Linked DNA regions of Coturnix japonica. The main gene of each other region encodes a partner of the protein of the gene in region 2 in a complex. Links are inferred from orthologs where the notes say so. Each region holds a gene or a part of one and is shown on either strand. Other genes may lie near its edges.

The links.
Region 1: CHCHD6 (region 2) and APOO share a complex: the UniProt entries of both Homo sapiens proteins name them as parts of the mitochondrial contact site and cristae organizing system (MICOS) complex. The link is inferred for Coturnix japonica from reciprocal best matches to the Homo sapiens genes CHCHD6 and APOO.
Region 3: CHCHD6 (region 2) and MICOS13 share a complex: the UniProt entries of both Homo sapiens proteins name them as parts of the mitochondrial contact site and cristae organizing system (MICOS) complex. The link is inferred for Coturnix japonica from reciprocal best matches to the Homo sapiens genes CHCHD6 and MICOS13.
Region 4: CHCHD6 (region 2) and IMMT share a complex: the UniProt entries of both Homo sapiens proteins name them as parts of the mitochondrial contact site and cristae organizing system (MICOS) complex. The link is inferred for Coturnix japonica from reciprocal best matches to the Homo sapiens genes CHCHD6 and IMMT.

The regions. Positions count from the first base shown.
Region 1 is NC_029516.1:107,432,322-107,439,557, reverse strand, and holds part of APOO (MICOS complex subunit MIC26), read left to right. Parts: intron 1-2,777; coding exon 2,778-2,885; intron 2,886-7,236. UniProt on the Homo sapiens protein: Component of the MICOS complex, a large protein complex of the mitochondrial inner membrane that plays crucial roles in the maintenance of crista junctions, inner membrane architecture, and formation of contact sites to the outer membrane.
Region 2 is NC_029527.1:7,383,093-7,390,814, forward strand, and holds the start of CHCHD6 (MICOS complex subunit MIC25), read left to right. Parts: upstream 1-3,567; 5' UTR 3,568-3,653; coding exon 3,654-3,743; intron 3,744-4,587; coding exon 4,588-4,717; intron 4,718-6,083; coding exon 6,084-6,147; intron 6,148-6,562; coding exon 6,563-6,707; intron 6,708-7,722. Other genes in the region: TPRA1 (transmembrane protein adipocyte-associated 1), read left to right, coding at 912-1,146. UniProt on the Homo sapiens protein: Component of the MICOS complex, a large protein complex of the mitochondrial inner membrane that plays crucial roles in the maintenance of crista junctions, inner membrane architecture, and formation of contact sites to the outer membrane.
Region 3 is NC_029543.1:713,795-720,380, forward strand, and holds MICOS13 (MICOS complex subunit MIC13), read left to right. Parts: upstream 1-2,847; 5' UTR 2,848-2,925; coding exon 2,926-2,954; intron 2,955-3,038; coding exon 3,039-3,195; intron 3,196-3,520; coding exon 3,521-3,572; intron 3,573-3,725; coding exon 3,726-3,823; 3' UTR 3,824-3,923; downstream 3,924-6,586. Other genes in the region: HSD11B1L (hydroxysteroid 11-beta-dehydrogenase 1-like protein), read right to left, coding at 567-747, 837-1,002, 1,161-1,254, 1,546-1,637, 1,720-1,831, 2,090-2,220, 2,416-2,503; scaffold attachment factor B1-like, read right to left, coding at 4,245-4,374, 4,566-4,617, 4,693-4,805, 4,979-5,100, 5,522-5,564, 6,030-6,167, 6,431-6,586. UniProt on the Homo sapiens protein: Component of the MICOS complex, a large protein complex of the mitochondrial inner membrane that plays crucial roles in the maintenance of crista junctions, inner membrane architecture, and formation of contact sites to the outer membrane.
Region 4 is NC_029519.1:77,503,511-77,510,746, reverse strand, and holds part of IMMT (MICOS complex subunit MIC60), read left to right. Parts: intron 1-344; coding exon 345-498; intron 499-602; coding exon 603-792; intron 793-1,429; coding exon 1,430-1,550; intron 1,551-2,136; coding exon 2,137-2,217; intron 2,218-2,308; coding exon 2,309-2,410; intron 2,411-2,569; coding exon 2,570-2,706; intron 2,707-3,050; coding exon 3,051-3,154; intron 3,155-3,505; coding exon 3,506-3,641; intron 3,642-4,684; coding exon 4,685-4,814; intron 4,815-6,076; coding exon 6,077-6,091; intron 6,092-6,943; coding exon 6,944-7,167; intron 7,168-7,236. UniProt on the Homo sapiens protein: Component of the MICOS complex, a large protein complex of the mitochondrial inner membrane that plays crucial roles in the maintenance of crista junctions, inner membrane architecture, and formation of contact sites to the outer membrane.

The DNA.
Region 1 (7,236 bases), on a different chromosome or scaffold from region 2:
GGAAATATTCTGGAACAAATCACAATTTTGTAAGGGACTTATTACTTCACTGTCAGCATTGTTTTCATTTGTGTAACTTAGAACAACCAGTCAGGTTGTATATGTGGTAAGGGAACCAAATTTAATATTAATGATTCTTTTGTTGTAGTGGAACTTTAACTAGTGTGTAAGAGCTGCATTGCTTTTCAGCTAACCATAATGCATTTCAATATGTTTTGTATTAACTGTGGTTTATATTCCAACTGGAAAACTTTCCATTATTAAATTACTTACATCAGTCTCTTCGTCATTAGAATTATTATTTTTTCCCTGGTATTAGAAGTTCTCACGTTCCATGTAGCAGCATGTGTTTTATGCTTGCTTGCTTCTTGAAATGAAAACTTCCTAATACGGAAGTTTACTTACTTGTAAACAAACAAAATTGTTTTTCTTCTGAATGTATATCTCTTCCCATGTCCGTTTGATTCTGTAAGGCATAATCAGCTACGCTGACGCAACTGAGAGCATGACACAATTACAGAGACTATAGATTGAAAAAGAGGAGTTGGGTTCAATTGATCCATGTTCACTGCAGAATAGAAGAGGCATGTAAAATTGTACTGTGACTACTTCATTAGCGGTGTACAGCAGAAAAGGCAGCAGATCCTCAGTTTAGATTCTCAGCGTGCAGTTTTGGTAAAGAATAATTCTACTTGATAATCTTGACATACAGCATACAGAATATTCAGTATTATATACTTACAGTCTCGTGTGGAGTTAAAAGATGGAAGTGTGTTCACATGTGTATTTGGCCTTAGGTTATGCTGATGGTGCTACAGCAGGGCAAATATGGCTACTTGTAGCCCAAGGTCACTTTCAAACTACTTCAGAAAACCAGTCAGTCTGACTTTTGAACTTGTTTGTTTACATTTTAGCATGCAAACTTTCTTCCAGTGTTGCACCAAACAGAGGTATTTTAGCGTGTAATAATTTAATGCAAACAAACTGGAAATTACCTTTCAGAAATTAAGAATGGCAGATGACTGTCAGAAAAAAAGAACATGTCCTTTTCTGAAGGAAACTCTGTGTCAGTGCTCAAATGAACACTTAGTACCAGCTGAATGAACTTCTGTACTTACTGTTCCTTTTACTTTCCTGGATTGTAACTGCCACTCCCTAGAGCCATGGTGCTGACTGCAGTACCTGCCTCTTTCCTCTGAAACTACTCCATGAGAAAGAGAGAGGTGTAAAGTACAAGATACAACACAACCTCTAGCGTTCTGCTAACAAGGGGGTGTATCAGATGATTAGCAAGAATTTCTTGGCAGTAATCCTGTTGACCTTGTAACTTGCAGCTTACAGTCTCACTAGAACTGTGTTTCTCAGCACATGTGAACTCCGTGTGGGTTCTGCCTCTTGAGAGGTGTGTGCAATGTTGGAACGCTGACTGTGGTGGAATAACCTATGTGGGCTTCTGTACCTTACTATGAAGTATTTATCCTTGTATGCACGTTGCAGATGGACAGGTTTTTATTTGCACTTCCTAAAATATAATGCAGCACTAAAAAAATCACAATATGAGGTTGGAGTACAGTTTGAAATTTTATGTAAGCTGTAATACAAAGGTGGCAGCATGATCTCTGCCCATATCTGTCATGGTGATGGAGCACAATTGATGTAGCTAATCTTGTTCAATCAGAAGGAGGTCGTTCTTTGTGTGATATGTGCCTAGCAGTAGAACTCAGCATGTGATGTTCTGGATGCTAAAAAGACGCATGTGACTCCAGAGGAGATGGGATGAGTTCATAAGGAGGTGTTCACTGGGCATTGTTACTTACAGGAATTGCCTCTGGCTCAGGGAAACTCTGAGCAGTGCATCGGTAGAGGCTGGAAGAAACTTCAGACAAATCACACTTGCTCTGATCTCATAGTGGTGGTTTTCCAGTTTTGCTATTGAAGAGCAAATGATACCTTCTCATTTCTCCATTTCATACAATTTTTAGTTTAATCCATCTAGTTGGACAAATTGTCTATTTTTGCTTCTGTTTTTATAAGAAAAAGGTACTAATCTGAAAATTACTACTGATGTGTGCCTGGAGCTGTGAAAACCTAAAACTCTTAGATGTTAGGATGCTATGGATCTATCAATGCTATCGTTATTATAGTTCCATATCACATAAGGGGTGGGAATTCTCATATTAGACGTAGGGATTTGTCCTGTTACAGAATTCCCTGTAGGTGTAATATAGCAAACGCTGCCTTTCCTTATCTATCTTCTGTTTTGAGGCTTAATCGCTAATTATTTGTTACAGCCATCTATCAGCAAATCAGGTTTTTCTTCTAAATTGCAAATAAAAAGAGACAAGGGAGCATTCCTACTAGTTTATCAAGACAGTGAAAATGTAAAATTGCAAATTAATATCAAAGTGAGAAAGAATGTTTTGTCTTTAAAGTGAGCATGGACAGTTTAAGAAATAATTTGTGTATATTAAATATATTGAGCATAGATTACTCAGATTATAAAACCTAGAATTGCTTCTGTGCAGCATCATTCCACTGCTTTTCATACAGTTGTATTTCACATAGTCTTCTAACAGCTTTTTCTAGCAAGTTGGCTTTTCTAATTCCCCATGCATTATTTTTCTCAAAGATGTTAATTAGGGCTTTATTCTCTGAGTTTGAGCAGGAAGATGTTCAAGTTCTTGGGTTCTCCTGGGATTTTTTCCACGTGAATGAGAAACACATTAATGTTTCTGAGATTGTTAGACTCATGCTTTCAAATATCTTTTGTTTCAAAGGTTGCTGGTGCCCAGCTGTATGACTGGAGTCTCCAGGGATATATTGCTGTAGAATCTCTTTGGAAGGATAATCCTAAAAAGAGGAGATATGGGAAAAAAGGTGATAAGGTAAGAAGGCTGAGAAACTTGATTTCTGGATTAGGAGAAAATCTACCAGCGTGTTTTTAGACAAAGAAATGATCTTACTTACTCTGACTCAGCTTACATTTCTAAAGACAAAGATTTCATATTATATTTCTAAGCTATGGAAAAAGTACTGGGCTTATTTCAATTTCAGAAAGTGGTTGGAAGTTTAATGATATGTCTATCATTGTTTATTTGTATTAGGTCTGTATGTTGGGACTGGATAGTAATGTCTGATAGAGCAGCATGCCGTGCATCACTATGCTCAGGCAGCTATTCATAAATATTGCACAAAAAAGAAAACCCACAGAATACGAAGGAAGGTGCTGTTTTACTTCAAATGCATTTTGTAGGAAGCAAAGATTCAAAATTAGTGCAGTGTGATTGGTGATATTAGCTGACAATTAGAATTGACTTGTGAAGAAAGGGGAACTCGTTTTGTTGAATCATTACATTATGTAATGTCTAGATCATAATTTATAGGCTGCCTAAAGCTTCTGGAGTTAATTATCGTAATGATGTTTGTTTTTTATCTACTGCACGTTTCCATCAGCCCTCAGGGGCAGGCTGTCCTTGTAGTTGTACCTCTGATATAGATAAAGAAAGTTTATCCACATACATGTGGATGGCTCAGTGAATTGCAGTGTAAGACACTGAATGATTGTGCAGGTTAGTAAAATATGCATGAGGGGCAGCCTGTAAGATTTTCATGTGTTGCTTTAACGGTGGTGTTCTGGGAACAGAAACCAGAAGTACTGTCTGACCACAGCAAGATATTTGCAACCCAGAGTTCTAAGAAGTAAGTGGGATGGACATCAAGAGAAACAGTTTGCAGAGAGACAACTGCACTTGCGAGAGGGTATTGGATATTGGAATGAGTTTCCTGCGTGGGTCTAGGTATAGCGCTGGTTCCAAACAGAATGGGTTGGAGGAATGCTCACCTGTGTTAGCAGTTGCTGAGTTTTTTGAGAGCTGTTGTCAGCTGACTTTTCTTGTGAATAGTCACCTTGTTTTGACTCCTAGGCTCTTCAATTAATGCACCTGTATTACTCTTTGAATAACCAGAGGTTAGTTAATCATATTGTACCTCTCCTAAAACCTTGTCTATCAAAAAATGTCTCAAACAAATAGGCAACGTAAAAATATTTCAGGAAGGCAGATGGACTGAATCAGTAACAGTTATCTGAGCTTTTTATTTTATTGTGTCCTAAGATGTCAAAATTATCAGATTGTTTTTCTATATTCTTTCCCTCTCGATGTAGCAGGCAGCTGGACTTCTTAAGTTCAAGCAAAGTTGTGCTTGAATTCTTATCCTGGTGGTTGTAACTTATTTCCTGAGGCCATGCCAGAGCAAATGATGTTACTTGTTTGTTTTTGTGACATTTGCTCTAGCGTTTCTTTGTTGCTACATGAAGGATCCTTGCAAATAGTTGAACTGTATATGGGTGGCTCTTCTTGGCTTGTGTTAATTTGTTACACAGCCCATGATTTGTTTGATGGTCATAGGCACCACAGCTGTGCATAACTTCATGTTTGTGCAGCAGTAGGTCATTAAAATACATGTGGTATGTTGATTTCCTAAAGGTTTTATGAGGCAGTAAGCTATGCCAAATCGAGGCCATATCACCTACGTTCTGCCAAGAAAGATGAATTCCAGGACTTTTTGCTGCAGTGTTTGAAATGCTGACAGGAGCAAGTCAGTCTGTAGTTCTGAATATGTAATTTGCAGTGCAGCATTCTGGTATCCTGACACTGGCTCATTGAAGGAAGTGGTTATCAGATGAGAAGTGTTCAACTGAAACTATACAGGTACCATAAGCGACAATCTATGCCCATGTTTTTTATTTAAAGAAGGATGAAACGCTTTCTTCAAAAAGGACATGAGGAGTAGTTATTCATCTTCTGCCTATGTTACCTTGATATCAAGGGGACAACTTTCCTATGTCTTCCCCCAGACAAAGAACACAGAGCAAGAAATGTAACCAGCTACTTGGTGGGCCAGGTGTATTTGAAGCATTCTATCTTCTGAATATTTTTTGCTTACTTGATTACTGTCTCACATGAAGGGATCTCACAAAAATCAGTGAAATTACTGTTAACGTTTATCTTACCAAGTAGTCAGTGTTCAGGAAAGGTGACAGTGAAGTTCAAACCTTGTTTATCTTGGTTTGTAGTTTATAGAGAATCATATCTATGATTTTATAGAGTTTTTAGGAGTGATGAATACTGTTTGGAGCTCTTTTGAGTAGCCTTAGGCCATACCAAACTTTCATTACTGTAATTTTGCAATTATGAAGGCTCATGCTCTGCATTGGCTCTGGTTACTCTTTGTTAAGTAATTAGTCTCTTTGCCCAATTAAATCCATGCAAGATCTCCTTCCTCTACGCTTTTCTTCTTGCTTTCCCATTCAGTGTTTGCTGAACTGTGAATTGCAGCTTCTTTTTCTCCTCCCTACAGGATCTCTGTTTAATTCTCCATGAGTTTGGTAACTATAATACCTGCTCTTAGATCAGAGGGCTAAAACAACTATAATGGCTGGAGGATTTTTGTGCAACAGCTTTAAGGGCTGTAGCTCTATATGCGAAAGATGATAACTTCTTTACTGAAAGCTACTTAAACGTCTGTGTTTCAGACCCCCAGTTTAATATATCTGAGCTGTAAGTTTCTTGTTTGTCACTCAGCTCATCTGATGATAGCTGTCATAAAACACAACCTTTTTTGTCCTTCCTCTTTTGTCTCTGGTTTTGCTATTTTTATCCTCTGTACTGTTCTGTAGGGTTGTTAGCTCTCATGCTTCAGTGGTTGCAGTCATGGAGCCCTGTGTTCTTGCACCAAGTCACTTGGACACAGGTTTTATTCCAGCCATGAGCTGAAACATACTGAAGCACAGAAAAATAGTGTGTGCTTTTTCTTACCTTGTTCCAATCAGTAATAACATCTTACACAAGACTGATTCTTTTAGTTTTTCCCCATGCTGTCATTTGTTTATTTTTTAAAACGGCTTCAGAAATTCAGAGAAACTCATACAGCTCATTGTTTGAGTTTCATTCCTGGTCTAGTGATAGAAACTATCTGTAATTTACCAATGCTTTCTGCATATGTCTAAGTACATATGTATGCATGTACAGAACTACACATGCTTAGTTAAGCACAGCTGTTTGAGTATCTTGTTAAGCATCAGCTGGTCACAGAGTGCTTTCAAGCCTAAAGACTGTTCAGCTTTGGGGTGCTCATTTCCTGCTCTTGTACCAAGGGAGCAATGAAAGTGGAAGTTGTGGTGTCGGTGTCTTGGCTGGGTAACTTTACCATGAACACGATAAATGGTCATCATAGCAAACCTAAATTGTGCTTTGAGAGTTTTGAGTCACTTGTGGTTTAAGTATATTTTAGAACAGAGCATGAGCAGCTGACAGATAAATAGGTAGGGGCATTTCCTGTTAAAAAAACATTAACAATTTGGTGGTTTCTTGAGATTGACAGCTACCTGAACTAAATGATAAACATCCGCCTCTGACAGAAAGTACTGCCTGCTGTTATACATTCACTTTTTGTTGTTTGGTAGTAAGACAAAAACAGAGTAGAACTTGAAAAGGCTGCAGTTTCCTTTTGGGCTGGATCCTCAGTTTGGGTTGTGATGAATGTGGGTGTTTGAGAGGTGAAAAACGAAGAATCTACCCTACTATAGGCTGTGCTTTTTAGGGTGACTTAAAATACAGTAACATTTTTTAAAGTGCTCCATATTTCTGAGAGGGCAAATTTCAAGCTCAACTAGAAGTAAGCAGCTGAAAATGTGTTGTTATTGACTGACTGGGAGAGGATGATATCTTTATGCTAAGCAATAAATACCTGGCAAACAAAAGAGACAGAAGAAAGTGCAAATTATGTATCTGTGAGCCTAAAAAGCTTTGTTTTTCTTGTGTAATTCCTTTTCTTTTCTGGGGCCATACTCTATCTTTTGGGAGCCCCACTGCTCCCTCCCCCTTACTTTTATTATTTTCAATTACATATAACGATATAATACATCAATATAATATATCAGTACATAAATATAAATAAATAAATAAATAAATAATTATAATATATAAATATATATATATTAAGAAATATATATATATATATTTCTTTAAATCTTGTGGAATCCTGGTGTATTGAATACAGGAGTGCGTTAGGAAGATTTGTTACAATCATCACACAGTTGAAAATGTCAGTTGCATAACAATACAAAATATTTCCTCTCCTGCTGTGGGATAGAAATCTGATGCATGAACTCTGTTCACCCAGATGTGTTATGAAGTGCTTGTGTTGAGCCAGAAAATAGGAAGATTTTTTGACTAT
Region 2 (7,722 bases):
TGCTTCATTCCTGGCTCGCTGATTTTTTTTTTTTTTTTTTTGTGGCCCTGCACTGGCCACTTCTATCCAAGACTCCCTTGTGTACAAAGTAGAGCCAATAGTTGTATTCCCTTCAGATGCTTCTGTCAGTCACTTCAGTGTCTACATCCTATATGCAAAGTCCTGCTGCTGAAGTCAGTAACTAAATGGTTAGTGAGGGACTGAGTCCTGACAGACTAAGCTGGCTCTGAGTGGGTTTTTAAGAGGCTTTCTTATTAAATAACCCCTTGGCTTGGGGTTCTTATATGAGGGCCTGGTCAATTATTGAAAGCTCTGTCTAGTGTTGATTACTGGGTTGGGGGTGCCACCGTGTGGCCACTCAGGGGAGATGCATGTTGATAGGAAAGTGGTTTATGTGTAAGCTGTACGTTTTATTGTCCGTGGGCAAGAGACATCAATCAGGCTTTAGAATAACTAAGAATAGAGGGTACTCCTAAAATATTGAAATGTTTCTGATGTCTTCTGGAATCAGAACGGTACCTGGAGATAGAAAGTGCTGATTTGCAAGTGTTTGCATTTTGTTTTTCCTGTTGTATACAAATGGGATGAGAAATGGAATCTTTCTGTTTGCTGTGAAGTCCAGTGATGCCTGGATGCTGTAGTTCAGAACTCACAAAGAGGAGAACATGCTCATGACACTGATGTCAGGACTGCTGTTTTTATTTCCCCTCAGTAGCCTAGTCCAGAACTACAGTTAGCATTGTTTCATGGCAGTTATTCCACAGTGACTATATCCAGACTGAAAGCAATGTGAAAAGTTCTTTAATACTTAAATATATGTTGTGTCAGTGCTGCTGAGTTTCAGTTAAGGGTAAGTGGCTGTCATGAGATAATTTGCTTAAATGTTTATTTTAAATCCTGAATGACTCTAGGTCTGAGCCGAAGATCCTCTTCTCCTACAAATGTCAGGTGGATGAACCTGAAGATGTGGATGTGCACCTGCCCCATGCTTATGCTGTTGCCAAGAAGGAAGGAATGGATTCTGGGTTCTACTCAAGCACTCAGATTGATACCACAGCCTACCTGGATGACGTGGCCTCCATGCCGTATCATGTGGGCAGCATCAACAGCATAGACAGCGATCGTTGGAAAGCCATCAATGCCTAAGGCAGGACTTCTCCCTGCACCCGATGCCTCACTTTCCCTTTTAAACTCCCTGATTCTGAGGATGTTAAGATATCCACTGGAAATATGTTCATCGCTATCTGCTGTGGCTTTCCTCTTTTCCTTAGGATTTCTGAAACCTATTGTGGAACTAAGTTGGCAGCCTTTTTGGAAAGAGCATTTCCCGTCACTGCCTGAGAACAATCTAGAACAGTCCTGTTCATAAACCTATAAACACTGAACCTTCCTGATTCTTCGTGTTCCAGATGTGAATGTGACCCAGAAGGACAGGCCTGACTGGTACCTCTTGCTTTTCAATGACTGACAGCACTTATCTGCCAACTAAGGGAATGTCATTTAGAAGCTGTTTATTTGACTGTGTATTCTACACATATGGAGAGAGTTTGGTGGTTTAAACCAAAGTTGGTGTTCCTGGGCTTTCTCAGGCAGCACAGTTGTCTGGATCTTGTCACAACCACAGCATAGGCGGCAATAGCTGTGTCCAAATGATGAAGGTGCTCAGTTGGACTCACCTCTGGTTTCAGCTAATGCTAATGAAAGCTGTGAATTCCAAATGTTAGGAGTTAAAAGGATTGTGTTCTGAGTGTGTAGGAAGGAAAAGAGAGGTGTGGAGAGAAATGAGCTGTCCAGTGTATCCTAGGGTTGTTCTGGGAGGCACAGGCTGGTAGCTTACAGCACTGTGAGCTGACAGAACTATAGGGAGGCAGGACAGGCAGCTGCTGCCCAGCTAAGCTGAAGTAGTTGTGAAACAATCTGGAGGCTGCGCTGCTGTTCATCTGAGCTCGCAGGAACACCTCAATCACAGCACTGAAGCAGGGTGGAGTTTCAAGAACACAGCTTGTACGGTAGGTGTATGTTACATTTGCACTGTGCTTCATGGCTCTGTTGGGGTCAGGGAGAGGGCCGTGCAGGAAGAGGCTGTCTCTGCTTATGAAGGCTTCAGAGATGTTTAGATGCCTGAAGCAGAGCAGAAGTTGATGAATCTGAGCTGGCAGTTTCTAGCGACTGGGAGCTCTCAAACACCACAGGCATCTTAGGATCGAATTGGCTGATGTTCTAGGCTGGGAGGTGGATACTCTGGTACAGCTTCTGCGGTTGTGTCCTCTTCTGTTGCAGTTCAGATCCCCCAGACTTCTACTGGCCATAATAGGCTTTTCATCTTGATACACTTAAAGTACTTACGGGCATGTGAAGTGTGGTTCATTTAAAAACTATCTGGAATTTCTTAGCCTCTTCCACACTGGAATAGGGACTGTTGACAGAGCTGCTTGACGTGCAGTTCCAAGACAGTTTGTTCCAATTCTGGGACTGTTAAGCTGATAACTGCAATAAACTGGTTTCTGAGACAGACTGTGCTTCCCCTGGCTTTGGGGAGGTCAGCTCTAGGGGAACCTACCCGAGTCATTTGGTAGGTGGAGATGTGCTGTAGGTGATAGCAACTTCCCATTAAAAGCAGTAGAAAGAGAGGAAATATGAAACATTTCAGCACTGTGTATCTCTTGCTCCAGCTGTTCCTGAAAAACAATATTGGGGTGAGAGCTCTTGGGGAATCATTGTGCAGCATGGAGGTATCAGTTTAGAATCACAAGTGTGTGCAGGGAAAGCATTTCCCACTTAGGGGAAGAAGCAGTTTGGGTAAGAACACAAAGTTCTGTCAGTTGCTGAAACTATGCAGGCCCCTCACTTATCTTCTTTTTGTTAATGAGCAATGCAGCCTCTCAGTTCTGCAGCCTGAGGACTTTGCCCTGCAGGCTCCTGGGTAGCATTGATACTATTAGTAATATATATAGAGAGGAGTGTGCTGTGCTCCTCCCGTTGCTTGATGTGAACCTGCATCAGCCACATTTTACTTGTCAAAGGGATGGATGATGTGGTGTCCGAATTGCTCCTGTTTTCACTCTGATCCTTTGCAAGTGTGGGGGAAACCTGCAGAGCCTCCCTGGAGTCTGTTGGCCTTGGACAGGGCTGAAAGCTGAATGTCTCAGCAGGTCACCTATGCAGGTGGTCAGTGTGTCCACCCTGTCCTTTGGCAGCAGGACTTTAGTCTGTGTGCTGCTCCTGTGCTGGGCCATGGGCCGACCTTCCTTCTGGTGTATTTCTTTGTATATAAGGCTTTGGGCCGTGTTCACAACGGGCCTTGAGCAGAAGTGTTGTGTGTGTTGGGGGTGTGTGTGTGTATAAAGAGCCTAAATATAGAATAAATGTATATTTTTGTTTGTAAAATAAAAGAATACGGTGAAGTTTGGCATAAACGGTTATACTTTCTTTCTTAAACGACGTGTATTACGGAGAATTAACAAAAATCAATGAGTTTAGCAGGTATTAACGGAGCCTGTTTTCGGAGTTCAATCCACACCATTGGCCGCCTCGGTGCTGTTCGCCAATGGGATCCCGTTATGTTGGCAGGCGCCGGCAGAGGGGAGGAGCTGCTCGGTGCTGCTGGGCGAGGAGGGGGGGTTGAGGCATCCCCAAGGGCCGCCCCGCCGGCAATGGGGGGCAGCGAGAGCAGCCAGGGCGGCAGGAAGGTTTCCTTCGGGCTGGATGAGCGGGACCAAGTCCGGGTGCTGCAGGGCATCAGGGTGAGGCGCTGCGGGGCGGCGGGCCCGGCCGCGGCTTGACTCGGTGGGAGTGCGGCAGCCCCGGGCCGGCCTGTGCCCACAGCGGCTGTATTTCATATTCCTTTGGTCTGTATTCCTTTGGATGCCATTTGTGATGATACACACTGTGTGTGTGCCCGTGGGCTGACCGTGAAGGCTGCGTTCTGTTGGCTTTCACAGCTCCGGGTATCTTTCTATTGGCAGCCCCTTCTCACTATGTTTCTATAGAATGGAATTATTTTGAGTTAACTGCTGCCTTTCAGGTTGGAATTAGGCAGGTGTGACCCTTAGTGTGTCCTTAGGCTGGAAGTTTTATTGCCCATTGATAGAGTATGCATTTGTGTTTCTCAGTGTTGAGGTCACAGCCTGGCTTTAATGGAAATTAAAGATGTAATTGAAAGATGAAAGGTGAAGATGCATTGAAAGATGTAACACAGCTCTGTGTCCTTGTGTGCTACGGCCATCTGCTTGGCAGATGGAAATGACTTCTGTATGGCCTCTAATGCCATCCCTTGCAAGGAGAGCAGCAGAGCACCCTCACTGTGAGGGTGGTCAGGCTTCCTAGTGAGATGATTGGTGCCCAACACCCCTCAGTGTTCAAGAGGCGCTGGGATGATGCCCAGTGATAAAGATAATGCTTTAACTTTTCGTTAGTCCTTGAGTGTTCAGGCAGTTTGATCAGATGTCTTTGGTCCCTTCCAAGAAACAGTTCTGGTTTTGCAGCAGCTTATAAACCAACAAATTAGACGCCTTTATACTGAAATACATGTACATTAAATGGTTAGTTAACTAAATGATTAATTGCTTTCTTATGTGTGTGTTTTAGCTCACTGAAGATGTAGTGAATCGAATGAAAGAATCTCAAAGTAAAAGGGGCAGCCAGAGGTCACCCTATTCATCCAGTGGTACAGCTCCATCTTCAACAGCTGCAGAAGGGAAACCCAAATCTTCTACAGGTACTGCCAGTCTCTGTCAGGTCTATTGATTTGACACCTGTAGGGGAACTGTTAGGCCAGGATTTGATCTGGTGGTGAGCACTTGGTAAAGGGATGCAGCTGGCCCAGGGAGCGCAGGCAAATTGTTTGCACCTGGTCTCCCTATGAGACCAGAAGGGGTGGAGTCCCCCTAGGCTCTCATATAAATGCCAGCCACTGAAGGGAAAGCATCTCTTGGACCTATGCTGCTTCCTGCAAAGGAGTGTGTATAAAGGAGAGCCCCTTCACCAGCTGGGTGAGTTCCAGTCTTCTTTCTGTATATGTCTATTGGCCTACCTGCAAATACTTTATGTGGTGTTGCCAAGAACACATCAGAAGTAATGTTGGTGCTTTGTGAGAAGGACAATATGCTGCTTAGCACTTCTGTTTGTGTTACATAGCATGAACTATCCTGAGAAGAGCTGCTGAAATGCTGTGGTTCTTGTTCTGTTGTTGTGGGACATTAAGGAAGACAACTTGTTTATGTAGATGCTCTTGTTTTGTCTTTAGAATGCCTTGGTTCTCAGATGCATTAAGGAACTTGTGTGACTTTGAGTGTAGAAGTTCAGATAAACACACAATAAGCAAGGCAGTAATTCAGTAATTTTTTAATGTTATCTTTTGTTTCTTGAAACTTGTTTTACTGTCCCTTTTCCATGCAGATGGGAGTATGTGGTGGGGGGGGGGGAGATGCTGCCTTTTGTCCTTTGGAAATAAACTCATTCTTGGAGGGGAAGTGACTAAACACAGGTTATATGACACATCAAGTGAACAGTGAGAACACGATTTCTGAACTTTACTTTCTTTACAGTTAATAAAATGATTTGATTTTATTGGTTTGCAAATATACTTTGTTGATAAACTTTATCAGTATGGATTTAAGGCATACAAACTAACACAAAGTTAATGAACCAGGCCTTTGCTGTTAGAAACTGGTTTGCTGTTAGCCTACATCTTTTCCGAAAGTGGTTTCAATTTTATGGATGAACTCCATTAAATAACTTAATCTCTGTAATTGCAAGGAAAGCAGGAAGACTTAATGAAGCTAGAAGAAACAACTAGAAAGTGGGACTAAAGCTATGCTTATTTTCCAGTATAAAGCAGTGTCTGTGTGTAACATCCTTACTTGGTTCAGTGTGCCTTGTTGAAGGCAGTGCTGACAGTGTTGTCAGTATCTCTTTCTTTCATTAAGTCTATTTCCATCAGATTTAAATTTTCTTGAGACTTGTCTAGGATTGTTATTTATCGTCTTGATGGAATAACATGTATTAAGTATTCTCTTCTTATCAAACAATTTAGGCTGTGTTCTGTATTACAGTTCTTATGGGTTTCTGTTCTTTCTCTCTAGGAATCCAGCCACCAGGTAACTCTGATCAGAAGGCTACAGTTGCGGAGCAGGAACTGTACAGGAGGTGAGTTTAGCTCCTTTTATGCTGTGAGATAGACTGACTCCTTTTACTGTGGTCTGTCCTTTCATCTTGTCCAAAGCAGTATCTATTTATCTAACTAACTACTTTATATCATTGCAACTTTTAGGTGGTAATTAAGTACTTAATAGAGCTAAATAACTGAAATATAAATTTGTATGGGTCTCAGTTTGCTGTTTTTGCCTGACTTGTATGTTTGTGAAAACTGCGGGTCATGCTTGAAGTTTGTTGGACTTTTGAATTACTGCTGATAACAGAGGGACTGTGAGCAGGCTTTGTGCCAAACTGGTTCTGCATTTGTGTTTTTGCCCTTGTCACGGATTGTCCATGCTAAGCCGTAACCCTGTTGCCAGAAGTCAGCTGATCGCCTTCTTTCTGTTTGTCTTTGGCACCCCTATAGGTATGAGCAGGAGCAGGCCCTGGTCCAAGAGGAATTGCTCCGGCTGGCCAAAAGAGAAAGGGAAGCAGCTGGTGAGATGCTGAGTACTGCCCTTCAGCGGGAGTGGAACAGCACTAATGAAGAGAGGAATAGAGCAGCTCAGCTGGTAAGTAACAACAACCTCCACCATATTCCCACGTGGTACAGACTGGAATCACTCTGCTTGAAGGGGTTCATTAAGTGTCACTTGTGTGTTGAGTTTAGAAACTGCTTTAGTCTGAAATACTTGTCATCTCATAACTCTACTCCTTGGCTTACAGTATAGCTGGCAAGCTGCACCTGTTGCCTCTCAGGTAGCAATTCTAAGGCCAGACTTGCAGGAAATGGCATAAGCAAAGACTGTGCTAAGGGCAGCCTGACCTGTGGGAGAAGGAGGATGAATGGTCAGTGTGCTTTGTGTGTATGGGCTTGTTGTCTGAGACGGTGTGTTCTTTTAAACTGGCAAGTGTACGAAACAAATGTTTTAGTATGCACAGGATCAAACTCTGCTGATCTGATCTGTCATAAAACTTCGCTTTGTGCTCCTGGGTTCTGGTTGTACAAGTACACAAATTAATAACAATAAAAAAATCTTGGATCTTTTATCATCCTGGTAACGTCTGATAATGTCTTATGTTGTATTCTATTAAATACTGGTTATTATGCCAATGCTGTACTGTCTGTGCACAATGCAGAGTCTTACTGGAGCTACTACTTCTTCCTGAGCTACAGTGGGATGCAAGGTGAGGCTGTGCTTCGTGCACTGAGGTCACACTGCCTGTGTGTTGAGGATCTTTGTTGAGAGAACTGGGCTAAGAGTAATTCTCTTATCCTAGTGCATACTGAAAAGACAGTTTAGGAAGAGGGGGCAGACTTGAGCAGTATTTGTTGTCTTTGGTTCTGTCCTGCTGGTCTCTTGCTTGAACTTGAACTGAAGAATCTTTGTGAGCGTGTTTTTTCTGTATGCTGAATAGCAATAGGCATGGCTTACCCAGGCATGTGATTTTTGCTGCGAAGCATTTTGAAGTTACAGTTGTAGAATGACTTGTGTTGGAGAGGACCTCAAGGATCATCAAGCTCAATAATAATGCTGGGGACTGAGTAAATAAAGTTGAAGTGAAAATGACTATGATGGTTTGGAC
Region 3 (6,586 bases), on a different chromosome or scaffold from region 2:
CGAGAGGAGGATGATGAGGATGATGAGGAGCTGCTGGAGCCGCCCGGGCTGTGCAGGACCCGGCGCTGTGCAGGCGCTGCCGGTTCCCGGCCCAGTGGGATGTTCCCCGTTGGGTTCTGCTGGTGCCGCCATCGCTGCGGTTCTTCCTTCCACCTGGGGCCGGTTCCGCAGCATGAAGCTCTGCCCCGATCCCGGCCGGGGGGGGGGGACGTTGGGGGGAACCGTGTGCGATGTGGGATGGGGGTGGGGGGGTCGGGGCTGCAGCCCCCAACCCAGAGCGGGGGGTTGTTGTGTCTGTTAGTCCATGTTTACTGACTGTAAAGACCATTTTGATACTCCATGGCCGCTCTCGGCACCATGTGTTTATTTCCGCTACAACCGGATCCAACATGACTGCGACCGGGACGAGGAACGGGAAGGACCGGCGGGTTGGACGGGGCGGTGCAGGCTGCTCTAACAAGCCGCCCCTTGGATTAATAAACGTTTTTCTCCCTCGGTCCCCAGCTGCCCCCGCGTCCGCTGCCTGCGGTTGGACACGCCGCGCTCTGTCCGGTGTTTCCGCCGGTTCAGTGGCTGCTGTAGTTGTAGAAGCTTTGCAGCACACGCGGGTTGGGCAGCAGCACCCACAGACCGTGAACGTGGCGCAGCCACCACGGGTAGAACAGCTCCGGGACGCGGGAACAGCCCCCGCGGATGATGGACAGCGCCGCGTCGGACGCGGGGGACGCGGACAGGAAAACACGGCCACTATGGGACAACGGGCGTCACGGCACCGAACACACATAGACACGTATAGATACACGTATATACACGTATATATACGTATATACACATACCGGGTCTTCTCCAGCGCCGTGTCGGTGTCGATGAGGCCCAGCACACACAGTGTGATGGACACGTTCTTCCTCTGCATCATCAGCTCGTGCCGCAGGGACCCAAAGAATCCATCCAGAGCGAACTTGGTGGCTGAGTAGGACGTGGTGAATGGGGTGGGGATCTTCCCTGGGAGATACAACGGGCGGTGGGGAATGAACGGCAACGGAGAAACAGACACGGCCCTGACCCACCCCCTGCAGCTGGATGGAGCCCTATGGATGGAGCCCTATGGATGGAGCCCTATGGATGGAGCCCTAAGGACATCGGTGCAGCCACACACTGACCTGAGAGGGAAGAAACCACCACCACTGAGCCCTGGTTCCTCTCCAGGGCCGGCAGAGCGGCTGATGCCAGAGCAACGTAACTAAAGAAATTGACCTGGAGGAGGAGGGGGAGGATGGAGACAGAGAGAAAATGCTTCGAGTTCAGTGAGAGCTGAAAGAAACAGAGCAGAGCTGAGAGGGAGAGTGGGGTGAGAATGGGAACGACAGGAGGAAAGGAAGGTTAAGTCAGCACAACACTGAGGTGAGTAGGGGAGGCTCCAAAGTATCAGCCTAGAAACACACACACGGTTGCCCTCGGCTGCAGGCAGAGCTCTGAATCTGCCTTCGAGCCCCTCCAGGTTGTCCCAGGAGCAGCAGAATCACAAGAACTGCTGGGAATCCTCACCTGCATGAGCCAGCGGCTGTGCTCCACATCCCCGCCCCACATCTCAAACGGGGAAGTGCCGATATGGTTCAGCACGAGGTAGTCCAGCCCTCCTGCGGGCACAGACAGCAGTCAGTAAATACAGGGGTAAATACAGCAGATATTTGGCTGTGCTGCCATTCTTGTCCCGCTTACCCAGTTTTTGGACAGCGAACTGAACCACCCTGTCGGGCTCTGAAGGTGAAGACATGTCAGCTGGGAGGTAGAAGACTTTCTTTGCTCCGAGGGTCAGACATTTCTCCATCACCTGCGAAAACAGCGCTGTGCCAATGGCTCAATGTGAGGTGGGGGGGAGGAGCAGCGATAAGGAGCAACATCGGGCTGCGGTGCTGCCCCCTGGTGGGAGAAACACGCGCTGCAACAGCGCTGCTGGGCGACAGCAACGGGGGAACCCAGCACAGGGGAACCCACATGGGGTCAGTGCAGGGGATGGCAGCACAAAACAGCCACAAAAGCCCGAAGCCCAAAGCCCGAGTCCCCGCCGTTCTGTTCCCTCCTCCCTCACCTCCCGCAGCGCCGCCTCCCTCCTGGCGGTCAGCACCATCTGAGCCCCATAGGCCGCATAGCGATAAGCCAACTGCTCCCCGATCCCGGCGCTGGCTCCGGTCAGAAGCACGCGGGCACCGGAAAGGAGCTCTGAGAACGGGACACACGGACACAGATACAGACACACAGACGGACACACGGACACAAGTGTGCGGGGAAACGGGGCACGAAGCGGCGGGTGGGGGCGGATGGAGCCGCTGCTGCAGCCGGGGCCGGTTGTGGCCGCGCTCACAGCGGGGGCTGCGTGTGACTGAGCGGCCGTTACCGAGTGTCGGACCGTGATACCTGCGTGGAACGGGTCGTCCCTGCAGCGCAAACACAGCAGCGCAGCCAGGAGCCCCGCGGCACAAAACAGCTTCGTGATGGGAACCATCGTGTGCGGGACGGGACGGGGCGGGACGGGAACGAGCTGCGGGAACGGAACGGAACGGGATCAGTGATGGGGGACGGGGGGAGTCCGAGCGGAACGGGGCGGGATGGAGGCGATAGAACGGGCTGCCCCCCCACAACGGGAAGGTGTCGGACCGGGTCAGGCCTCATCACCCCGTTATCTCGCTCATCTCCCATCATGTCGCCGCTCACAGCGCCACGTTCAGCGGGTGCGGCCCCCACTCCCCGCCCTGCGGCCCCCAGCCCCCTCACTGCCCGCCCCGACCCCTCACCCCAAGATGGCGGCGGCCGCAGCTTCCTACGTGCGCTCGTTGCCGTGGTAACGGTTGAGAAGGAAGTGGTTCTCCACTCTTCCGGTCACGTGAGGCTCCCGGCGGCCCTCGCGGCGCTGCCCTTGGTGCCGTCATGGCCGCCCGCATCGCGCCGCTCATCCGGTCAGTGACCGCGGTCAGACCCGGGATGGGAGGGACGTAACGGCGGGACCGAACCGAACCGAGTCACTGCTTTGGTCCCTGCAGGTTCGCCATCAAGGGAGGCCTGGCCGGAGCCGCCGTGTACGTGTCGTACGATCAGGGGCTGCTGGGCAGCGGGACCGAGGGGGCAGAGGCCTTAAAACGGGCCCGGGAAGCGCTACCGGCTGCGGTGAGAGAATGGAGCGGACACGTGGGATGGGAGGTGAGAGGGAGATAAGGGAGATAAGGGGAGATAAGGGGGGAGATAAGGGGGGGATAAGGAGCAGCATCGGGTCTGTTTGGACCCACAGTGACAGGGAGACCCTGAAGGAACCAGCAGCTTTTCCATATCGGATCCTATTATAAGCTGTCACGTATTTCCCCTCTGCTTTTACTGCAGCTCAGAGCCCAGAGCTCACTGATGCCCATTGACTCTCATTGATTCTCATTGATGCTCATTGATGTAGCACCAAACCCCTTTGGGCTCCGTGATCCCCCTGCCCCCCATTGCTGCCCTTCTTTCTTTCTTTCTTTCTTTCTCTCTGCAGCTCCCACCCGTTCCAACCTTGGATTTCTCCCCCTCGGATTCCTGGAATAAAGGTAAAATCCCATTTCATTATTTGTGGGAAGGGGCCAGTGCTGCAGCTTGTCATAGAACCACACACTGGCCGGGGTTGGGGTTGGTGCCACAAATCAACCTGCCATGTGCCTCCATTGCTGCTGTGCTGTGCTGACTGTCCATGTCCCTTACAGGGGTGCACACGCTGATGTCTGCCCTGTCGGTGGCTCCCAGCAGAGCGTGTGAATACACGGCTCAGGGCTGGAACTACCTCAAGGATCTCGTCAAGTGAGCTGAGCACATCCTCTGTCCCGCTCTCATTCTGTCCGTCCCGTGCTGCTCCCACAGCTCAGCCACAAGGGCTGCAATAAAAGACTTTGAAGTTCTGGTTTCATTGGGGTTGGTTTTGACAAATAGCCCCCATTGCTCCATGCCTTCATAGCAGTAGGTGCCTCAGAGACGACTGCAGCCGTGAACTGTAAACTGTTTTTTTTTTTATTTATGGAAAATGGAATGCTTCATTAACAAACAGTTTTAAATGAGGATATGAACAACACGTTACAAAACAAATGAGTTCACATTGGATCGAGTGACGTCGTATGGCAGCAGCTTAAAAAAGAAATTCCACTTACAGTGACCCACGAGCTCCAAGGGCCGGACACCCCAGGGACAAACCAACTGCAGTTGCCACGTAGCGTTAGAAATTAAAACATTCAGTAGCGACGGTTGAAGCGAGGGTCGTTGGGTCGGCTCGCTCGCTCCTGGCCGGCAAATCCCTCCCCTTGCATCCCCCCTCCGTGCATCAGCTGACTTTGGTTCCCTCCTTGCATGAACCCTCCTCGCCTGCAAAGTGGGGCAGATGGTTTGGGGTTGGTTCTCTCCAATGAAGCACAGGAATATTCTGTCATCCCTTGACATTTCAGTAACAAATTGTGTAACTGATAATCCCCTAAAATTCTCACTTAAATGCAAGGGACTCACCCTGAAAGGAAATGGAAAGCAAAGAAATGCTCTGCTCTTTTTAAGCTTCTTACCCTGACATGCCTCCACGGTGCATCACGTGGCCAGGTCTCCCTCTACCTCCACCTATAAAAGAGTGAGAGTGATTCCTCTGTGCCCACAGGAGCCGTTTTGCTTTGTGTCCATGCAGGGCAGCTTTACCTTGCCATCTCTCGTGATCCCGTCCCATCATCCCTCCATCCACGCTGCTCTGCCATGAACGCTCTTGGTGCCCTTCAAATTTCCTCCCGTGGTCCCCCCAGTCGCGGCCATCCCTGCAGGAAGAGCCTGAGTTACATCTTTGACACCTGGCACTGCTGCAGTGCAGGAGTGAGCTGGAAGAGCCACTGGTGTGCAGGGCAGGGAACGGGCTGAGGAGGGAGGTGTGTGAAAAAGAATCACGTCAAAAAGTGCATTTCCAATATTCACAATCTGCACAAGAACTGACCGTGATGGGGGGGGGATCCCTCTGCTCTCACTCATCCTCCTGTCGGAGCCGTAGCTGCCCCAGCTCTCCCGGGAGTCCCGTGAGTGGCGCTCGGGGCCTCCATGGCGCTCATCTGGGTAATGCTGCAAGGCAAAGACACGTGTGTGAGCGCACAGAACCAGCTCCATCTTTATTTCTTCCTGTTGATCTCTGTGATATTCCTCCCTGCCCAGTTTCTCTCACAATCCCACAGCTCAGCCAGCAGTAAAAGCCACCTCTCACTGCCAGCCCCTCAGGCCACAAGAGCACACCAACACCGACTGAGTTTTGCCACCTTACAGAGTTAATATTATGTTACTTGTGTCTTCTCTGAACAACCTCTCTTACCCCCCCACCTCTCTGACACACTTGTTTGCTGTGTACCACAGTAAATGTACCTGACTTTTATAGCAAGGCAATCTTGTCACTGATAGATACTCCTAGCACTATAATTTTAATTTGAAACTACAGCAAACCAGGCTGTCAGAGTTAAGACAGTTCTACAGCTTTATAAAATCAACTCACTTGTCCATCGCGATCTCCCATCATCGTCCTTGATCCATCCCTCCTACAGACAATTAAAACCAGTGGTTGGAAAACACGCTGCAGTTATTACCGTATCTATATAACAGACAGAAAATCCTCTTTCCATGTACTGCCAGCATTGCCTACAAGAGCCACAGCAGTGGGGCAGGAACACAAGGAAGCCACAACACTTGAGATTGCTGGGAAACCCAGCTAGCCCAGAAGTACAATGTCCTCCACTAAGGAGCTACAATATGATTTCAAAAGCCCTTTTTTTTTCTCAGAAGCTCACAAATCTGCAAAGCAGCAACTGAACAGGTGCTAAACAAACACTGAACTGGTGGCACAGAAACACTTCTCTTCAATTTCACAAGAGAAACTCACAGCTACTAAATCATGCTTAAAAAAGGAAGTGCAGAAGTAACACCCAGTAAAGAGAAGGCAGCAAGATGTGATGCTTCAGGCATCTCCACCCTCTGATTTCAGCTGGGGCAGCAGAGGCACCAACCTGTCCAACGAGTGGTCTTGGTACCGGCCGCGATCCCTGTGGTCGAAGTCGTGGAAGCGATCCTGGCGGCCAAAGTCAGAATGGTACCGATCGTTCATCGCCATCCGCTTCGCTTCGGGCCAGTACGGGTCATCCCTCCTGACAGGAAGAAAATGTTGTAATCCAGTTTGTGACTTTTGGTGTTTGTTCCCAGTTTAAACTGCACACCAAAAACACATGTAAAAAAGCTCAGAAGCAGGGATAGAACTCAGACAGGAGAGCACAACTGAGGCTTTACACACACACACCTCATGGTACGCAGTGAGTGCAGCTCTGGGCAGACAAACAGCTCTTTGTAGTGCAGGCTGCAGCCACAGCCCGGCAGCCAAGCCCCCTCCTCCCGTCCCTCACATTGCCTTTACCTGCCATCAATGTCATACGGCCTTCTCATGGCAGAGCGGCGTTCCTGTTCATAGCGCAGCTGCTCGTGCTGCCGTCGCAGCTCTTCCCTTTCTCGCTGGATGCGATCTTGTTCCCTCCTCCTTTCATGCTCTATGTGCATCCGCTCCCTCTCCAGT
Region 4 (7,236 bases), on a different chromosome or scaffold from region 2:
ACCAGTTTTTCTGGCAGATCTTCATTTTGAGGTAAAATAGGAGGTAAAAATGTTGGGTAACGTTATCCCCGCTAAATAGAATAGGGTAAAATATCACTCCTCACATGGTAATTTCATTTATAGTATAATGAGATCTCTATCTTGAAAGCGGCTGCGTTGTTCTTGTAGGGAGCTCATAAAGAAACGTGTTTGTGTCTCTTGAATGAGCTGCAGGTCTAAAGGCAGCTCTGGTTTCTGCACTGAGCTGCTGTAGCTCTCAGACCGAGCTGAACTAACATGCATTGGGATGAGTTGAGGCTGAGATGTGCTCAGTGCCTGACTGTGCTCTCCTCCACCCCTCACAGAGCTGCTGGTGCAGGAGGGCATCGCTCCGTCCACCTCGACTGAGCCGTGGATATGCGACCTCGTCGGGGGAGTCCGGGTGCGTTGGAGGGGTGGTTCCTTCCATCCCTTGGTTTGTCCCACACTCTTGGGTTGGTGGCCGCCTTCTGGATCACAGTGGGTGTTCCCAGGTGTAGGCTGGAGGTTTAAAACCTATCAGAGGCTTTATTGTCGTGCAATACGATTTACATCGTTTCTGTTTTATCCCTCTCTCCACGCAGTGTTTCTGTAGGCAAAATCATCGGTGCAAGCGTCTTGTTTGTGGGTGGAGGAGTCGGGGGAACCGTCCTGTACGCCAGCTACGATCCACACTTCAGGGAGAATGTAGAGAAAGCCATTCCCTACTCTGACAAACTGTTTGAGATGGCCCTTGGTCCTGCACCGTACAGTGTGCCCATGCCAAAGAAACCGGTAAGCATCTCCCAATCACCTATTCAGCTGACGGCTGTGTAATGGTGCTGCTCGCATGTTTCCCTTTATCATGGAATCATAGAAGGGCTCAGGTTGGAAGGGACCTCAGGGACCACCGAGTTGCAACCCCCTGCCACATGCAGGGCCACCAGCCTCCACATTTAATACCAGCCCAGGCTGCCCCATCCAACCTGCCCTTGAACACCTCCAGGGATGGGACATCACAGCCTCTCTGGGCAGCTGTTCCAGCACCTCACCACTCTCATAGTACAGAACTTCCCCCTGACATCCAACCTAAATCTTTCCTCCCTCAACTTAAAACCATTTCCCCTTGTCCTGCTATTATCTACCCTTCCAAAGAGTTGACTTTCCTCCTGTTTATAGGCTCCCTTTAGGTACTGGAAGGCTGCAGTGAGGTTACCCTGCAGCAGTTTTCAGCTGCATGTTCTTCACTTGTGATCATGGAGGCTCTTAGTGCCTTCCAGGCACCGAGTAAACTTTAGCATCACACAGACTGCTCAGACTGAAATCCTGATCTGCCCAGTTATGGCTCTGACTCAGATGCTTTTGTTCTTACCTTGTGGCTTTGCACGATGGTTACTGAAAAATGAATACTTTCTTATTTTTGATTCTCAAGATACAACAAGGTCCACTGAAGATCTCATCTGTAGCAGAAGTAATGAAAGAATCCAAACAGCCCGTTCCCAAATCCCACACAAGCAAAACAGAAGCTGTTGCTCCTTCAGAGGAAAAAGAAGGTAACCTTATGGAATGTCACACGGAGAGAAGCAGAAGTGCTAATGTTCTCCTGTACCGTACATCCCACAGCAGATGGAGATGGGCTTTGGGGATGGTTGCAGATGTTTGTGCTGTAGTTTTGTTGAATTAATATTATTGATCATAAGGAAGTTTGCCTAGAAGGGCTTGAGCCATTTTTGCTTAGTTTTCAATTAAGTTTATTGACCTTAGAGTATTTGGAATCTAATATAAATGACTGCACTCCATAGTTCTGCATACAAGGCTCACTTTGGGTGCTGGGCTCTTGAGATATTCTATTTCTTCTTCTTAAGCAACTGCAGTATGCCTTAATTGGGATAATTGCTTGAGCTGCTTGTAAAGCCAGATTAAAAGGAACATAGAGAGTCACAGTTGGCATCTTTGTTCCCTTATCTGTCATGTCAGGTGAAGATCTGCGTGTGTGTAATTAATGCTGTCTCCTTTTCTGTAAATAATAACATGAATGTCCCAATGAAGTTCCTCCAGAGGAAAAACCCAGTGTCTGTTATTTCCCTGTTCTCACTTCAGTGCATGTGCATGTTTCAGTTCTGTAACTGTACTTAACAGCAGGCACAGCTGCAGCACAGATCATCTCTGCAACAGGGGTAGCCGCGTCAGTGCCAGCTCCGGGGATACAGCCTGAAGAAGGTGAAAAAGATTGCACGAATACCACATAGAACATCAAAATCCTGTCGCTTCAAACACATGGATCTGATGCTTAAATAATCTGCTTTTATAGGTAAAGAACATGAGGGTTCCCATGCTATAAAAGAACGATCGCCGGACGAGGTCGCGGCTCGTCTTGCCCAGCAGGACAAAGAGGAGCAAGAGAAGATCGCAGGTGAGCCCATACCTGGAGTTCTGCTACACATGCTGTAAGGGACAAAAGGATTGTTCCCAACCTCTTGTGAGCCACAGAAAATAACGTAAGGAGACACTTGAGATATAATGAATCACTTCAATGATGAGGCTGCAGTTAATTCCAGTATTTTCTTTCCAGCCCTTGCAGCAACACTGGAAGGAGCCCTGAGCTCTACGGCTCGTGTAACACTGCAGGCAATTACTGCACAGGAATCTGCTGTGCAAGCAGTGAATGCGCACTTGCAAATACTGAAGGAGGCAATGGACAACTCGGAGGTAAATTGGGCAGCTGGGGACTTGTGTTCATCGTGTAACTAAGGATAAAGTCTGAGGTTTAATGTTTGTCACAGTTTTACCTGATCTTCCCACTTGGGAAACGTTGTAGGGTTTAATAATAAAGTGCTTCTGCTTTTGACATGTCCCACTTTGTGTAGGACTGCTGCTTTCTGTTGCAGAGGGTATAATGGAGTGGTCAATCACAATGTCAAGGTTCAAAACCACAACAAAAACGATAGAAAGAAGAAATTCTTAAGAGCTTCCAGCTGTGTTGTTATTATCTGATGGGTAATTTTGTACCGTGGGCATTGTGATAACACTAATGATCGATCTGTGCTTGTCAGACTGCTGGGGAGAAGAAATCAGCTCAGTGGCGCACTCTGGAGGAGGCTCTGAAAGATCGAAGGAGGGCAGTGGATGAAGCTGCTGATGTCCTTCTGAAAGCCAAGTGAGTTCTTTGTATCTCCTACCCATACTTAAATACAGTGCTCCTTAGTTCAAGTAAGACTGAAGAAAACAATAACCCATAATCCTTCTAATATCATTTTGGATCATTTGATCATTATTATGCCTATTGTAAGAATTCAATTTGCTGCACTCTGGGTCTGTTGAGTCAATAACATCGTTGGCTTCTCCTAGCTGTGATGTAAAATTAAGTCTTACAGCACTGTTTGTTGGTTCCATTCTTCAGCAGAGCCACTCCTAAGGCTGGCTATTTATTAGATGTGTGCTCATGCATGTATGTGGTTATGCAGTAAGACCTGTATGTGTTATAATCAACAGCTTCATTTCTTTTCAGAGAAGAGTTGGAGAAGACAAAAGGTGTAATTGAGAATGCCAAGAAGGCTCAGATCCCAGGAGCCAAACCTCACATCATTGCTGCAGAGGAAAATCTTCATCATATGATAGTTGACTTGGACAATGTAGTGAAGAAGGTAACACTTCCAGCTGTTCTTCATCATCATTAGAACAAGGACTGATTGGCAGCTTGTGAGACCCCCTTTTTCCACGTCCTTTATAGCAGATCAAGTATTTCTTAGTTTAAATGCTATTTCTAAACACAATTTTCAGCTATAGTCAGTCTTTGAGCTGTGTGTGGTACCAGTGAGTTGTCTTGACAAGGACTTTGCATGAAAAGCCTGAACTCTGTCTTGGAACTCTGCAGCCAGTTTGTTCAGTGTCTGCTCTTTCCTTGGGCAGCTTTCATTTCCTTCTTTCTGATGCTGGACTTGCAGTTCCTTCTGTCTGATGCTGGACTTGCAGTTCCTTCTGTCTGATGCTGGAGTGGAATTAGGAAGATGAGACAAACTATTCAGGGTGCTGATTGGCGTAGTGTCCTCTCACTGAGTGTATCCAGTTGTTCTGGTGGTGGCTCTTGTGCAGGGCATGGGAGACATAGGGTTGGATTGCTGAGATTACTTTTTAACCTTGAAACTTGTTTCTTTGGATCTGGGGCACACCTATAATATTCATCAGGTTGGGGAGGAGTCTGCTGATGACTTTGTGGGTATATCACTTTATGGCTCAGAAAACAGGATGAAAAGTAAAGTTGAAATCATGCCCTTTTGCAGGATAATGGATTGCTCTGATGGAGGAATTTCAGTGGGGAATTTCTCTGAAGTGTGGGAGTACAGAACGCAGTGAGGGTTGGGCAGCTCCCTGCTGGGGCTGTGATGGCTGCATGCTGCTCTGATGGTAGAAAACATTCTGTAATGAAGGTGTAGAGCTGGATATCTCTAAAGGAACATATTGTGTTGGTTTTTTCTGAGCTACAGATTGACTACAGTATTACAGTGTGCGTGTGAAGAAGTGGATCTGTGTAGTTGGGGTAAATAATTACTGTGTATAAGAGGCTTGATGTCACAGGGCAGCTTTTCCCCAAGTGAGGATAAAGATCTCTGCCACTAACTCAGGTTTGATCTCAGATGACTTCAGTCTCCTTGGAAGATAAGCCAGTCTCCTTTTTTGTTTGTTACAGGTTCAGGCAGCACAGTCTGAGGCCAAGATCGTGGCTCAGTATCATGAACTTGTGGCTACGGCAAGAGAGGAGTTTCAGCGAGAACTCGAGAGCATCACCCCCGATGTGCAGCCGGGCTGGAAGGGGCTCAGTAAGTCTGCGGCGATGGCAGTCAATCGTAGAGCAGTTCATAGAGCAGCTGTAACAATGCCTGCTTTCAGGATTCCCTGATTCTGAGCTCCCTGATTCTTTCTAGATAACTGAAAGAGTGAATTCACTGCTCTTTAAATACTTCACTTATCCCAGTGTGTTAGTTCTAAAGGAGAGTGACACAGGAGTTGATCTGGAGTAACAGCCAGTGCTGCACAGAAGCAGTAAATGGCTGCGTGGTGTTTTCCAGCTGCTACAGTTCTTTGCCTGAGGTCTGACATCTGGCACACTCATGTTTTTGAGGTGCTTGGGTTTTTCAGCTGGAGCTCCTTCCTGCTTTCCTTAGAACAGATAAAAGTGAAGTGAGAAATGTGATTCAGAAGTACAGTTAGAATCTTTCTGCCTCAGTAGAGGGATAAATGTATTACTCAGAGTTGTTGGAAGGTTCAGATACCACCACAGTGTGATTGCAGGCAGGCAGGGAAGGAGTCAGGCTTGCAGTTAAATTCTTATGGCTAAAGCAAGTCAGCTCATCCTCTGTGATCCTCTTTCTTAATGGTACTTAATGCTCTAGAAATGTGAATGTTAGTCCACAAACTCATTTTCAAAGCTAAATGAAAACACCAGGCCTGTGTAACACATGGGGTTTTTGTTCTGTAAGAAGTTGGGAGAACTTACTAGGTTGAGAAACTGCAGTTTGCTGTGCTGTCTCTCTTATGTTCAATCTTCTGGGATATTAGTTCTGAAGAAAATGGGATTTGGCATCTGGAGATGGAGCTACCATTTCTAATGCAGGATAAGGGGAGGACATCCTGAGTATTGTGAGCACTGCACTGTTCTGAGAGAGGGAACATCCCGGCAGCTTCCAGGCGTTCAGTTTCACACCAGTGTGACCCTACTTAGTGTACAGGACTGACTCGATAGTGACTCTCACTGCTACCTGGGAATTTGTCTCTTACCCAACTGCTCGTTTGTAAGGACCTGGAAATTCTCAGTGTCCTGTTGCACTTCTTTACTTGTATTTCTCGCTTTGACTGAACCTAAAGGTTCATCTGTGGGTTTCCAAAGGCAGCTGTAGTGGTGGGGATGTTTGGGTTACATCTTGCTTGTAACAAGGAGGGATCTCCGGAGTCTGTTCTTGAACTCCTGCAGCCTTGGATCACTCTAGACCAGAAGCTTTTAGTTGTCCATTGTACTATTGCACGACTGACTGCTGTAGTGAATGTGCATTAACTTCTCCAACCTCTCCTCTTTCTGTTGCAGACATAACTGATCTAGGTGAGTTCCTGTAACTTTTTCTGGTCTTGTGAATATTCTCTCTTTCCTCTTTGTCCTTTTTGATGTTTGTGTGGTGCACCACTTTAATTACATGCACTATCAGCAAAGCAGTGAAAAATATCCCTGCAATATTTCAGACTGGGCTGTGCTTTGGGATCCTTGCCGCTAGTTCTGTATGTGCTGCTTAAACCAGACTTTGTCTAGCAGCTCTCACTTGCCAGGTGAGTGTGGTTTGCATTGGAAAGCCACGCTTCCACTTGCTTTGTGTATTTCAGCCAGTCACCAGCTGCTGCTGAGATCCCAATGGGAAACAGAAATGAATCCATCCTAATCAACAGTGGTTAATTCTAACTGACAGTGGTTTGCTTCAACTTTGGGCCTGATTGAGGCCGGCTCCTGCTGATACCACCAGCACATCTGGGTGCTCTGAGCTGGGTCACCAAACTGAGGGACTGAATTTGGATTTAATCTTCATGATTGATTTCCTCTCTGATTCTGAGGTTGATTTTTCTGAGCTCCTTGGTGGTGCTGCTCAGCTTTTGGGTCAGACCTGCTGCACCAGATAACAAATAGCAACATCTGACTGTGAACATTTGGCCTGGAGAGCTGCTGAACAGCATGAATTGTAGATGTGAATGATTCAAATGAACTGGAGTAATTTTTCTCCCAAGTGCTGGGAAGTTCTTATAGATTTGGTTCGGAAAGGAGCATTTGGGTGGGCTTTACCACCAATCAGTGTCTCTTAAAACGTGCTCACAGGTCAACCATGTATGGAGCCCTGGAGCTCTCCAGGGGTAGGAGGTGGGGTAGCTTCTCTGCAGCTCTTTCTAATAGCGCCTTGTTGTTTTTTAGCTGGGCAGTTATCAACAGACGACTTGAATTCCCTGATTGCACACGCGCATCGTCGCATCGACCAGCTGAACAAGGAGCTGGCTGAGCAGAGGGTCAGGGAGCAGCAGCACATCGAGTTGGCCCTGGAGAAGCAAAAACTTGAAGATAAAAAGGCACTCGAGGCAGCTGTGGCAAAAGCACTGGAGCATCACAAAAGTGAGATTGAAATAGAACAGGAGAAGAAGGTAAAGTGGTGGAACTCGCCTAGAAGAGGGGCACAGGGAGCAGCAGGGTGTTGTGAGTGCTGGGGGACT